Drosophila melanogaster: one gene and its partner. The gene in region 2 interacts genetically with the main gene of each other region. Each region holds a gene or a part of one and is shown on either strand. Other genes may lie near its edges.

Evidence for each region.
Region 1: of tsl (region 2) and fs(1)M3, changing one suppresses a phenotype caused by changing the other (phenotypic suppression), as found in Drosophila melanogaster (one study listed by BioGRID).

What each region holds. Positions count from the first base shown.
Region 1 is NC_004354.4:5,958,244-5,966,017, forward strand, and holds the start of fs(1)M3 (female sterile (1) M3), read right to left. Parts: upstream 6,005-7,774; 5' UTR 5,915-6,004; coding exon 5,304-5,914; intron 5,231-5,303; coding exon 5,095-5,230; intron 5,039-5,094; coding exon 4,546-5,038; intron 4,495-4,545; coding exon 4,108-4,494; intron 4,046-4,107; coding exon 3,566-4,045; intron 3,509-3,565; coding exon 3,246-3,508; intron 3,194-3,245; coding exon 53-3,193; 3' UTR 1-52.
Region 2 is NT_033777.3:21,777,594-21,784,521, forward strand, and holds tsl (torso-like), read right to left. Parts: upstream 4,944-6,928; 5' UTR 4,891-4,943; exon of another isoform or gene 4,395-4,890; intron 4,313-4,394; exon of another isoform or gene 4,125-4,312; intron 2,191-4,124; 5' UTR 2,169-2,190; coding exon 1,959-2,168; intron 1,611-1,958; coding exon 759-1,610; 3' UTR 521-758; downstream 1-520. Other genes in the region: Polr1H (RNA polymerase I subunit H), read right to left, coding at 1-4, 56-173.

The DNA.
Region 1 (7,774 bases), on a different chromosome or scaffold from region 2:
AACATAATTATGTACAGTACAAATACACATAGATTACAATATGATACAGATTTTAGCCCAGTAGGGCTTTCACTAGACTACATTCCCGTTTCTTTCCGCAGAGCAGCAGAATAGGGGTCTCGGCGGCTTCAAGCATTTGACCAGATTTCACCAGTGACCACGCCCACTGGTCCTGTTTCTTAATGCCAAACGTACGCTGTTGCCAACCGCCTACTTCATTATAGCTGAAGAGGTAAAAGTGTTCTTCCTCCGGCTGCGTTACTACCAATAGATATTGCTCATTTCCAACTTTGAATGGAGTTAGTTGTTGAATGCGCTCCTGGAAGCTCAACTGCTGGATGGGCTCAAACAGAATTTCCGCGGAATGAGAGTACCGTTTAAAGATAGCTATGTGTCGACAACCCAAACAGCTGACCAGAAGTTGGTTTCCCTGCATCTCTGCCAGGTCATATGAGCCCTGGATCAGCTGAAGCATTTTGAAGTTATGATTTAAGGGATCCCTATAATGGATGGCCAGGACAGGACGATGATTACTCATGCCACTGGTGAGTATTAGATCCTGTCGGGACTCTACCCCCATTCGAACCAACTTCATAAGGCGCCCATCTGCTGGTAGCACGGATTGCCAATCGGTGAGACTACAGTTGCTCCTCTTCAGACGCAGGACACGAACTTCCTCCTCGGTGCCCAAGAGCAGCAGCACCATTTCCCCCATTTCCAGCAGTTCCATGGCTTCCACTGATTGACGCATTCCCAGCGTATGCGTTTCATTACGGCAACTAATTCTGATCCTGCTGCGCAATCTTCGTGCTGGGCGATGACAGTGGTTCTGCACCTTCACCCGGATATCTCCGGAGTGAAGTCTCATCAGTTGATTGGACACACTCGAGTTGGCCAGGAGGACGCGACGTTCGTGGATCAGGAGCTTGGCTTGTAAAGTCCTACGCTGACATGGAGCAGAATAACCCAAGGGCAGGCTCACCTGCAGTTCCGAAGATCCCCTAAAAGGGCCTTTTACCCAAGTAGACTCCAGACTTTCGGTGTCGTGATCCAGGTAAAGTAGCCTCCTAGGCGAAGTTTGATTACCCAATGCTAGAAGTTCTTGAAACTCCTCTAACGGATTGCTTTGCACTTCCGTCGCTCGCATTCGATTGGGAATTTGACTTTGAAGTCCTGCTAAAACTAGTCCACCTGGGAAGAGAGCTTTGTCCAGAACTAGACTATCGATGTTGTAGTCCTTATTTCGAAAGATGCTGCCCCTGAAACTTTCGCTAAGCTCACGTCCATTCAGATTCATCACATGACCGGGTCCAGTGAACTCCACTCCTCCACGAAAAGTCTTGGCACCCGTGATGCTCTGCGTCCGATTGCTATGCCGAAACACCAAGTTATCCAATTGAATGCCATTGATAGAACGTAGAAGAGGCTTTCCACTCAGCTGAAGGTGCTCAAAAGTCAGTGAACCGAATACCTCCAATGCGTCTCCCTTTAAGGGAATGCGATGTTGTAGAAAGTAGTCCAGATTCATGTTGTTTACGGTTTTCAGATTCAGGTCCTGTTCGACAAAGAGGTTCTTGAACGTTACGGGTGGCCAGGATTGCCCCTTGCCCTGCTGGTATATACTTTGTATCGGAGCTCCATTCACTTCTGGATACTCCAGTTGAAGTTTGCCTATTTTTGGAGCCTGATGAAAGTGAAGATCCGCTGCAATGGCTTCTCCACTGGAGAGGCGGTACAGTGAGGCATTGAATCGTCGTATATCGATTCCGTTTACCAGCTCAAAGTGTGCATCCTGCTCCAAGTGTAGAGTATTAGCTCTAACTAATCCCTGTAGCTCTTGCGGAGCTGTTATCACCTGGGTTTCGTTTGTGGGGCTCCGGCGAAGTAGGGCATCTTCGGCCAATTGAGTGAAGTTAAGATCAATTGGCAGGGAATGCTTACTTTGGATATCCTTTAAGTAGGGTTCCTTCAGTAGAACGTGTCCGGCAATGGTCTGGTTGCCCACTCTCCTGACTGCATGCTGGCGTAGGTAGTCTAGCTGGGATTGGGACTGCTCTTCACCATCCCATAGAGCATCGCCGGTGACTATCAAATTCCGCCAGGGAAGTTGCTGCACTTGCTCCACTCGTTGCTTGAGATCATTTAAAACTGCCTCATTGACAAAGGGACACTTTAGGCTGCCATTGATGTTCAGTTGCTTTAGGTAAAGATCTCCTTTTAGTTCTAAGTCTTTGCGTGTGTCTATAAATTCCTCCTTGGGTACCCCATTTATTCGATTTACATCCACATTGGTGGCCATCATGCGGTCGAAAGTGTAAGCACCACTGATTTGCTGGGGTGTCATTCGCAGTAAGGTGTTGTCGAGCAGGGAACTTAGATCCAAATTATTGATGTGAGGACTTTGCAGGGCATCATTTATTTGGACATCGGCCATGAATGTCTTTTTACCCCGTATTTCCGCGTTAGAATCAGATCTCACCAGGCGATCTAGGTACTCGTCCCATTGGATTCCATTAATGTTCTGCACTTGGACAGCCTTGTCAAATCGTACATTTCCTTCGATCAATAGTTGCTTGTGAAGAAGTAGGGGCTGTTCACCATCTTCCGAAATTTTGGACAGCAGTTCATCGAAGGGCAATCCATTAAGTCGCCGAAAATGAAGATTCTCCAGATGTGGGGTTTCGGTTAGTTCGAGGCGTTGCAGGCTGATATCGTGACCAAGCAGCTGTTGCAATGGCAATCCATTAAGATGACTCACATTCAAATGATCATGAACGTTGATATCATTCGCCACCACCACACGGGCAAAGGTCTTTGTACCCGTAAAGTTTTGGGTGGTGTTTGATTTCACCACTATTTCACTAACAGGTACTCCGTTTATTTCATTGGCTTGAAGTGCTTGAACAGTCAAAGGTGCCTGGAAGTGTTTGTGCCCCGTGATATTAACAGCGTCTCCATGACTCACTGCATCTTTTGCGATCTCCGCCAAACGGGAACTGTAATCCCTGCAAATAACATCGCCCAGTATGGTTGCATTCATAAAGATAATGTGTAGAGTGTTATTTGGGTGAGTATGTTGGTTCTGCTGTCCTCCGCTTAGGAGATGATCCCTCACAGGATGACCGTCAACATAACTGGTGGTCATTGAGGGAACACTAACTCTGGCATGTCCAAAGGTCAAGTTAGTGAGGTTCTGCGGAAAGACTATTGTCATTAAAGTGAATTAAATGAAGTTGAATCTCAACCTGTGGCGTCTGATCAAGAAGGTACGTAGATTGTATATCTTTTCTGGCGAGAGATTGGTTTCCGAGCACTATAAGTGAGTTTGCCGTGTCTCGCAGGACATTTGTGACCGTCAGGGATCCGCGGATGGTTACCCTGCCCGTGTAGTACTGTTGAAGACGTTGTTCCATTGGATCGTCGAGTTGTCTGGGCTGTGGCTGCCACTTGCTCGTATTGCCCACAAAAATGTCACCCGAAACACTCATCTGATTGATGCGAACAGGAGCTGAAAAATATGGATTTGTTAAATGATTTAATGGAATATATCAAGGAGGACACTAACTTTTTATCCATGTATCATTGCTACCGCGATGAAGTACATCGTGGGCAAAGTCAAGTCCATTTACTTGCTGAGCCTCCAAACGCGGAGCAAAGAAGGCGGACATGTAGATATTCGAACTGATCACCTGGGCACGCCGCAGATTAAAGAGACGATCCACCACGAGTCCGTTGAGCAGAGGTGTCTTTAGACTGTTCACCCGGACTCGCGATTGCATAACCAAGCGTCCTTCTATCGAAGTGTCACGACTGCGCAGGAAGAGCGAGTCCAAAAAGTCGTTCCACTGCACTCCGTTTATCTGTTCCACTCGGAGATGACGAACTACACATTCACTGCCACTGGTTTCCTCAGGCGCAATCTGGGCACCACTGGAGTTGCGGAAATCTTGGGGAGTAACCAATTGATTTACCCTAAGCTTTTTCGTCTGCAAAGGACTGTTTCTGATGGTCAACATAGGTGGTTTTGAGTTATCCAAAATGTGGCCTGTAAATTAGGAAGAAAAAAAAGATTTATATCATATTCTATTCCTGAATTCCCATACTTGCCTGAAATTAGCTGTCCCTTGTAGATAAGATTGCCCACGCGCAATCGTCGCGCTTTGAGTGTCTCCGGCTCATCGTTCTCGTTTCCTGTCCCAAAAGAGCGTGTGGTTCGCCTGGTCTGGATCGCTTTAAATCGTTGACGAAGTTCCTCCAAGCGTTGCTTTAATTGGGTGGGCGTGCGCAGATGTTCGTCCACCAACTGAAGTCTTCCTATTTGTCCTTGCTGCACTAGATGCAGTGGCGTGTCGAGGTGGATGGCCGATTTGCGTTTTAAGATGTCCACAATGTTTCTCAGGTTTTCTGTAGAGGAACGACGGCGCAGCAGGAGGCCACGTAAGGCATTGATGGACTCCTCAAACTCGTGACGATGCAATTGGACAACACTTAGATCTGTAAAATCACTAGTTTCAAATTTCCACTACAGAGTTATATTAAATGTACCTTCATCTGGAGCAGCGCCCACTTGGTTGGAGATTTCTTCCACGCCACCCAATTGCACAGTTCGGATCAGATCACTCGAGGATCTTCGATAGGCCAGCAAAAGAAAGGTCTCATTGTGCAAGTTTTTATGAATAAGTAATCCACTTGGATCCGCTTCTCCAGCCACCTGAAATCCACTATAGCAATCCAGGCGAGTGGAGCTGAAGACGATCACCTCGCCATTGGCACGGGCACCAATCAAAAGGTGACCCTTTTTGGTGGCACTCAATCGACGGAAACTCAAATCTTTTCGAGCATGCTTTCGGTACACCACAAATTGTCCATCCACCATTCGGAAGAAAATACACGAGGCAGATGCAGAGGAAGTACAGGCGATGAGGCAGTTCCTCCCGTGAAATCTAACAGCTTGGACACTTTGCGCCTGAACTGTCAAAGCCTGGCGTTGTTGCAGGATTCGGCTGTTTCTATCCAGCTCGTAGATTGTGAGCACCAGCTAGAGGGAAACATAAATGAATTAAGAACCATCTAAATTATTAAAAGTTATATCACCTTTGACTGGGAACCCTTTAAAGAACGACCAAAAATGATATAAAGTGGCTGACGACCAACCACTTGGAGAACGCGAATGGCGGGTAGAGTGATCTCCTCGAGTGGATTAAAGTAGGTGTCCAGCCACTCAAAGGTTCTGTGAGGAAGTCGTCAATATTATGAATGAATAATGAATCAATTTTTAATTGAAAATGTATGCCAATCCCAACCTGCATTTGCTGTGTGATCTGGTGTGATTGGAGGCCACTAGGAGGAGCACCTGATCTCCACTGGGTTTCAAAAGGTGCAGCTGTAGAAAAGCACCTGGCAGCGAGAACTCCTGGAGGGGCTCAAAGCTCACCTGTGTGGCTGGATCTTCGGATAGGAGCAGTTCCTTGGGCAACTGGTAAACCTCCATGGAATCATCCAGAACGATGGCAAGGAGCAGGAACTCCCGCCAGGCCACAACCTCTGCTCCGAGAGCTCTGCGACCACTGACCTGGCCCGCCAAGTAACCAAGCGGCACTAGACGCCTCTCCCCAGTGGCCACGTGCAGCTGAAAAATCTCGTGTCCATGGAGCAGTAAAAGTAGATCCTCTTCCGGTTCGCGGAGCACAAAGAGTGGCTTCTCATGGCGCACCATCATGTCCACAAAGGGCAGACGGATTTCCGGGCCAGAGCTACTGCCATTCAACCCATTGCGACAGGAACTGGGCAGCAGCTGGGCAGCACTCGGATCTCCAGCGACTTCTGCTGCTGATAATTCACTTTGTACTTGGGCGATATAGCTATTTAACACTAACACACTAAATAATGCTGCACACACGCTTGGCGAAATCATTTCGCAAGGATTGCAGGGACTGTTGTATCTAGTGATACTAAACTACAATGATATATTCAATCCATTCACATGGCACATTACTTTTGGTGTGCCATTTCTCTTGTTCGTAACTGTAAACCAATTTATACTTCGTGAGAGAGCTCTAGTATAACTGTAAAATGAAAAGAAATACTGTGAGTGACGGAAAGCGCGCGAAAGACAAAAACTCATCGAACAGTTGTTGTTATTCCGTTACAGTGGAATAAACAGAGTTACTATATGTAGAGTGAAATATGTATATTTTTGTAGTTCCTGGTTTTCCGATTTGAGTTCTCAGCCTGAATGTAGGCAACGGAAAGTGCTTTCATTTGTGCGCTCAACGAGCATTTTTCCCATGTGTCGCATTAGTTTTCCCCGATTTTCTCGGCACTCGTCAGTCAATCCGCGTCTCTCCGTCCTGCTTTCTCCGCCTGCAGCAGTGACACCTTGGACTGGGAATTAAATTTTTCGTACGGGGTTGGGCAGTGGGGAATGGGGCATATAAGGCTGGGGATCTAAAAATAAGGCAGACAAACTTGGAGAGTGCCTTCGACGTTTCTGCTGAATCAATCAGCTTCGATCATTAGTCGAGGTCATTAAAGACATTAAACCTCGAGCCACCAAAAAAAAAAAGATAGAAAGGAAGAGAGCATTTAACACGGAAGAGGGAATCGCATAAAAATAAATTTATATGTACGTATGTATGCACATACATACATATGTATGTGAAATATTTTGGGGGCGGAATGGGCCTTACCAAGTCACCCATAAATCCGCAGCTTTAACCTAAAAGGTGGCCACATTTGTACTTGCAGTTAAATCGGATTTAAGGCACATATAAATATGTATTAATAGGTGTACAAGAGGAAAACGGTATTCATGTCATCGCCCTCGGGGTCAGGATTTGGGGGCATCCGTTGGGAACACCCGCTGAAATATTTACTTTGCCCAAAATCTGATTGATCGCAGCATTGACATGTTATGCAAACAACATTCCAGTGTAACGAATATACAATTGTAAAATAAATAAGAGCAAAACATACAATCGGATGTTAAATTGAGGTGAACTTAAAATTTTGTAGATCAAAATTGGCTTTTATGTTTTAAACTTTCAAAATGTAACTTTCCTGAATGCCCTTTTAAGTTTGTACCATTTCTAGTTGGCTTAGTGCATGGCTAATACCAGCTGTTGGTTTCAGCAGATGTGCTCACTGGTTGCGTGCTGCCGATTTGGTTCATTTCATTTCGGTTTTTGTTGTGTCCTGTTTCTGTTGACCATTTCGAGCAGTTGCCGTCGCGCTTTTCGTGACTAATTAGCAAATTCGCGACACCCGTTTTGGGAGCATTTTTTTCTGCGTTCGTTGTTTGGCGTTTGGCGTCACAGGCCAAAACCCAAGTCACCCCTCCCCCAACACACTAAACCATTAACCATTTCGGACTACCGCTTAACGGTTAACAGAAGCAGCTGATTGTCATGCCTGCGGCTCATCAGCGGGCTCATAACGGCGCTTTTGGAGTGGCGGTCTGTGATTTGAGTGCCTCCCCAATGGGATACTCTTCTGCCAGAGAGAGGACGAGAGTAAGAGCGAGAGAAAACTCTTTCTCCAGTAGCCAAAACTCCCCAAAAAGCGCTCCGCTTACGCACCACTCTCGCTCTCCTTTTTCTCTTCCTTTTCTCCTCGCGAGTGAGTCACGCAGCTAGAGCTAGAGCTGGAAAAACATCGATGCTCGTCGCCGTCGATGTTTTCGATGTTTTATGGCGAGAACATTGACTATCGAAAAATAAACGAAAAATATTACTCTTTCTGTTCTTTTTGTGTGCATTCGTATTCGTATTAATAA
Region 2 (6,928 bases):
TAAACTATTTTTAAGTGTTAAATAAATTAAACAAAGTTGTAATTTCTGGATTTACCATCTGGCTGAAACTCCTTCTTGCAGTTGTAGCAAATCACATTGCCCTTGACTTGAAGCTCGGGCAGAATGGAGCCGCAGGAGGGGCAAAAGCCCGGACAATTGGAAAAAATATCCATGCCAGTATATATCACCCAAAATCAAAATCAAAATACAAAAACCGCACGTGCTATTTCGGATTTCAGTATGAGCGTAACTGAACCGTTTGAAATATACCACACGGTATTAAAAATATACTTGATTCATATACTAAATACGTAAGGGTGGAAAACTAGAATAAGTCTGGTTGAAAGCCTTGATGAAACGGGTAGAGCCGTTTACCCGTTTCGATTACCGGTTCTTAATCAAAATCAATTATTCAAAATAAACTTTCAAAATAGTATTTGATATTCATAGCCAATATTACGTAATGAAAACAGTTAGATTTTAATAGCCAATATCAAGTTATGAAAACAGTAAGATTTTTACTTTTATCTTTACTTTGTATTAAAGTTTACAAAACTATTACATCAATAAGGCGATCTTACGGTCTAGTTAGCTGAAATGCAAGTCGGATGTGTACTGTGTTCCAATTAAACTACCTAAAACTATCACAGGCAGAACATTAACTACGCACTAGAGGTTCCTAACTACAACTAAGCATCTAGGAACTATTGATCCTTGGCTGCCACATATCGCACAGTATATATATATTTAAAATGCAGCTATCGGGTGGGATGACTCTGCGGCATGTTAAGCTCCCAGAGCTTCACATTGTTGTCGAGAACCTCGTGGTACCAGCTCTCCTTTTCCGGCTCCTCCCGGAAGATGGGCTTCAGCGACTTGAGGTCCAACTGCAGTATGGCATCGTTGCCGAGCAGCGAGTCCAGGGATCGCAGTAGAGTACTATTACCGTGCAGTTTCAGCAGGGTCACATACTTGACCACATAGTACTCGTACTGCAGCTTCCTTCTCGCCCATCTTTCCACTGTAGCATTGGCACTAGCCGATCGAATCTGGCCCAGATGGGCGGCAAACCAGGGCGCAAAGTAGTTGTAAAGATCCAACTTGGACAGTCCGTTCAGACCTTTACTCTTGATTCGCTCCTTGATCATGCTGTAGTTCTTCCTGCTGTACACAAACACCTGATACAGCGAATTGCCGGTGGTGTATGAGTTTACGTAGTGGGTGCCCACATCTTCCATAAATCGCACTGCGGAAGTTATATTTCCGATTTGCAGTTGATCCATTCTCGATCGCACATCCGGCTCCAAGGGTTGGTGCACCGGAATCTCAGCGTTAAGACGCCCCGTTTCCCTGAAGCGCACCACCCTCACCAAAACATACGAGTAATCGCCTTGGATGAAAGATGTATTGATGCCCAGCTTCTTGGCCGCATTATCCGGAAACCATCCGCCAGTAAATGCCTCCCACGGTTTGTCCATTCGCTCAATGGAAAAGTCACGGAAGTAGGCCTGGAACAGTTGCCTCCGATTCTCGCAGAACTCCATGTGAAAGTCTCCATGAAAGATTCCGGGCGTGGTGTCTTCATGACTCTCCGCCAGGCCACTCAGATTCTGAAAGAAAAAAATCATTAATTATCTAATTGTCTAGTCAGCTCAATTATCAGGTAATAAATATCAAGTGACATACTTGAATAATCGTATATAATGATCGTTTTCCTAAATCTGATCAAACAAATATAATAAGCGCTCATTCTAACGACAAACGTGGCGGAAGTGAACAATATAATTACAACTAAAAATAGTTTTAAGTGATAACAACTTTAAACCCTATTTTAAAATTTTGATTATACTCCAAATAATTATGGTGATTGTGGTTAAAGGTTAATACAAACAATTCCGAGTTCATCAACGCCATTTAATTTATTAAATGTAAGCTTAACTCTGCCTTAAGTCCCTTACCCTATAGATGTTTTTGGTGGGCTCCTTAAACACCCAGCGATCCGGCTCCGAGTTGTCATTGAGCGGTATCACACGCATGGAGATTCCCAGGTAGCCATAGCGCAGGAATATATTGATGGCCTTGCCGATCCGGAGCTGGGACTCGCGACGACCTCCATCCGCCAGGAGCGCCAGGGTCAGCAGCCAGAAAAGGCCAGGCCACGACCGCATCGCTCAGCATTCAAGGTTAGATCTATAGAGGATTATAATAGAAATATTATATTGCAAATTTAAAGCGATTACACTTGAATTAGGCAAACGTTTCCATATTCCATATCCATATAATCCCTTGCTATAAAATATTATTGATTGAAACAAACGCAACCTATTCCGATCTCTTATAAAATTCGCAATTTAACAATAATGAGGCATATCTATCCCACAATAATTTATTCAAGTGACTAGATAACTCTTGATTGCAATGTGCATATTGATGACAAGCAAGTACAAACAGCGCTATACCATCCGAACTCATTACTCACTTAGACTAAAACCGGAAAGTTTTACAGCAAGCTACTTCGGTGGTTTGTTTATATTTTATAGCCAGTGCAGTAGTTGCGATACAGTGGGGTTAACTAAACAGCAATAATTGCAGGGCCGCCGTGTTTGTTTTCCACTCCATAAACGGGCGATAATATAAGCGCGCTCTAATTGGCCATGAACCTTCAGTGGCGCTGAACTTGAACCGACCAAGTCGACTTGGGTAGAGGCCACCAGCTGGTGGTGATGATGAGCTGGAGCTCTGCGTAGCTCCACTCTGATCACCTTAAGTGGATGCAATTAGCCGCAGGCTCTGTGGCCGTAAAAGCAGCTACAAAGTATAGCCATCAAAATTGGTTCGGCTGTCGCTTTGACTTGCAAATTATTTCCTAAAAACATTTTGCATGCCTCGTAACCGTTTTCCTATAGTTGGCCCACTACACTTCAGAGGACCGGTTATGCCGTTTTTGTTTTTTTTTTTTTTTTTTTCTGTCCAAGCATTATGGCCGGCAAGGAAGCCAAACAAATTGGCCCAAGCCAGACATATACACACATTCTAACAGCTTGGCGAGGCAGCTTTTAATTCGAGCCGTTATCACAGAACGAGCGACGTGTTTGATGGGCCAAAAACACAGAGGTTAGCCGGGTGTTAGCCACGTTTGTGAGTCACACCTGTCGACCCGACGCACTGAAGCGCAGCACCAGACAAAAAAAAAACACAAACGCAGCCATGATGAGACTCAAATGTTAACCATTTACGTGAACCATAAAATGTAGGCGTCGCTAAACTTGTCCAGCAGCAAAAACTAAACAAAAAACAGCAGGAAGAGTGACTGAATGAAACTAGCCGTGAATGGAACAAAGAAAAAGAGACATTTGACTACTGCATCTTGTCTATACTTGCCTATAGTACATATATTACTGCCCATGGGCGCGATTCCAGGAAATATTTGTTTGCACATTTTATAAACACATGAATATTTGCTAAATGCTGCAATCAGCTGTCTTGACCTTACAGATGAACCTCACAGATTGCAATCACTCTACGGATTTAAACATTCTGACTCGGCATAGAATACGATTTCGAAGGCTTCCAACTTCTGGCAAACAACTAATGCCCAAATGAGCTTAGTTCTCCATCGCGAGACCCAGAAAATCAAACTGTCGCACAATTGCCAAACTTGAGGTTCAAAATTTGAGATCCGCTTGAAAGGCATGTGTTATGTGACTTAATGATAGTTAGTTTTGTCGGTGGGGGTATTGACAATAGCGGACGCATAACCTTGTGCAAAAGACCCCAAAAAAAAAAAGAAGCCGCGAACCGGAGTTCGAGATGAAGAAGACGAATTAAATCAAAAATTCAATGCGCGCACTCGGACTCCAAAGCAAAGGCAACTAAAAATCAACTCGTTCAACTGTGACTCCCTGTGCACTGGGAGAAAAGAGTGTGGCTATCTAGGACTAGAACTGAATAAGAGAAGAATCAGTCAGCTCTTAACTCCTCTTTTGAGCTATTTGGAATCTTATTCCAATTGTTTATGCTTTTATCAGATTTAAATCGTTATTAGATTTGTTATTTGGCCTATATTTATCCAATAAGATTTTATAATGTGTATTTTTCTTGGACATCCTAAAAAACCTGCATACATTTCTCTCAGTGCTTCCCACCGTGGTTGTCCGCGGCCCAGTCAATTGGAGATTCTTTATGCGCATTTCATGAGCTCTTTTGTGGTAGTAGTCTGGAGTAAACCCCGGGCGAAGGGCACAGACGTGGGGCATAAGGTCTGCAGTTTATATCGCGCTTAATTTTATGCTTGGTCCGTGTGCGTTGTTTCCTTGAGCGGTGTTAAACAAAAGTTGTCTTGACTGCTGCTGAGGTGCTGCTGCTTTTGCCACTTTTGTGGTAGTATTATTTACCTGCACGAGAACTCGAACGCGAATCGAAATTGACGTAACCATCGGCCAGAAGCGGCTTGTTTTATTTTCGGCAGAAGCTTGAAGCTCCGGCTAATTCTATATGCCAGTCGACACAAATCCGCAGGTCTAGAGTTGTGGCTCGCCACTGGTTAGCCTTATCGCTCTGATACCGGGGGCCATTGCACAAGGCTGGTTGGCTGGCTTTATGGCTGGCATTAGCATCGTTAAGACTCCGATTTTTAACGCTTTGTGGGTCAGAGGTCGGCGGCTTGGTTGGCGCCCTCAAGTGATAAGACGGATCTATGAATAGATCGCTGTGGTTCGAATTACATGCGTTTGCGCAGATTTCAACAACCAACAACGTACACACACACACACACAGGCAGTCGTCAAGTACCCTGAACGGCAAACACTAAAACAGACTTAAAACACACTAAAACGAGCGACGACGTGCCTTCAATTGCAATTATAAGCCGGAATTTGCGGCAGCACTTACACTCAAAACGCGAGCAGCACACCTTCAAGCGCGAAGACTCAAAACCTAACTGAAACTGGCTACCAAAAACTCGATCGCCGGAGAGAACAAGCCGATCCGTTCAAGCAGCTACAGCAGCAGCAACAATATATGTTGCGCTACGACAGCAACATGTTGCTGCTGTGCGTCGTGTCGTCTGATCCAACCGAGCAACTGGCAGCAGTTGCAGTTCAATGACTGGCAGCCAGCAGAAGTTCTACTCCTCCAACGGTAGTGGCTATGGCTAATGCTAATGGCCTGGCACAAATATCTATTGTTGACATCTGCCGTTTGGGGGGACAGCTTTTCCGCTTATTAATATTTCCGAGCACGTCGTTCAACTTCCAGTTTTCTTCAATGGCGCGGGGAGTCGGAGGGCTGCCGAATCGAGGCAGATTGAAATGATTGCAGTTTACCCGGGCCAGACTTGCGCAAGATTCCCATAGAACTGGGCGGCCAGTAATCAAAAACTTTTGGTACTACTTGTGCAAAAAAAAAACTAATAATGAGACCAAAAGTAAGCCGAAAAATAAAAACGAAAACGAAAGTATCAAATTCGCATTACCTTGAAAACATGCTAACAAATTTGGGTCAACTCAAAGTGTTGGGCGACAACGTTTGAAGTTCGAGTGTAATGTTTCAATTAGAAGCTCAAGATACAAATGTATCTGTATCTGTATCTGTTGCTCAAAGAGCCATGGCTGCAGGGCATCCGCTTTGTCGCATTTGCCTTGACTTCCAATGGCCATTGGGAATTTCTGCAAAATTCGCTGCTGGCTTCTAAGAAATGAAAAGGTTCTGATTTGAAGTCTTTTTTTGCTGCTGATATGGGGGGGGGTCTTTCTTTTGGAAGAGGCGTTGGGGGAAGGGCTTCCGAAAAGTATTGCAAAAGCTGGTTGAAATTGTATCTCTCGTATATTTTTCTCTTTTCATATATAGAAGTTCATTTTATTACTTTTGTTTCGGTTTCTGTGTGGGTTTTGCTTTGTCTTTGCAGCATGCATGATTCAAAACTTATGTATTTAAAATTCGGTATTTCAGTGTTTACTCGTTTTTATTTAATTCTCATTCCAGTTTCTTCGGTTCTTTTTCATTTAATTTATTATTATTAATCCCATGTTTAAACTATGTATATATAATGACATTTTTATCATTTATTTTAAATGATATTTACTAACACCGCGGCCTTCTGCGCCCCAAACGATCGATCGATCTGCCGATCCATTCATTTCACTTCATTTATTATTATAATAACAATTCACTCAATTAGCTCAAATCGCGTCAATCTACACATATTGACATTGGAGATCATAAGCATTTTCAACTCATCTTTACCATCGTTACCCTCGGTATCATATCATCATCATAATGATCATTGACTTATGAAATTAGAGAAAAATTCTAATTCATTTGGTTTACGCGACCGTGTTCATCTCACTTCTGCGTCTTCCTTTTCTTTTTTTTTTATGTAATATCAACAATAAATTTTTACTTAATCTTAGTGTGAAATTATTCTTAGAGTACAGCTACAATCTGCTCGCATCGGCTAAGAAAAAAGGATCAAGTAAAAGTACGAAACGAATCATTCGAAATCCTAGCTCAATCTCAGGATACTCTCTGTCGGTATCGTTTTCTTTTTTTACCCCCCATTTCCAATTCATTTCAATCGTTCCTAATCATTGTAATACCGTAAAATATAAGATTTTGATTTGAGCATTCTTTTCCTAATCATTTCATCGATTTTTGGTGTTTTCTGGCACACTTAGCCTGGTTGGGGGAGCTTCAAAATGTACATACATCTATCTCAAGCCGTGTCATCTATAAGGTTCCTCCTCCTATCTGATCTCATCTCATCTCATCTCGTCTCGTCCGTTCGTTCAATCTATCGTTCGCTTTAAGGTATAATACTTAGTTAATTTGGCCACTTGGCTGCATTTGTGGTTGTGGGTAGGTAGTTAGTTCTTCAGTTTTTCGGGTAGGTTCGGTTGTTCTTCTTTTTTGGGATACTTCTATGATTTGC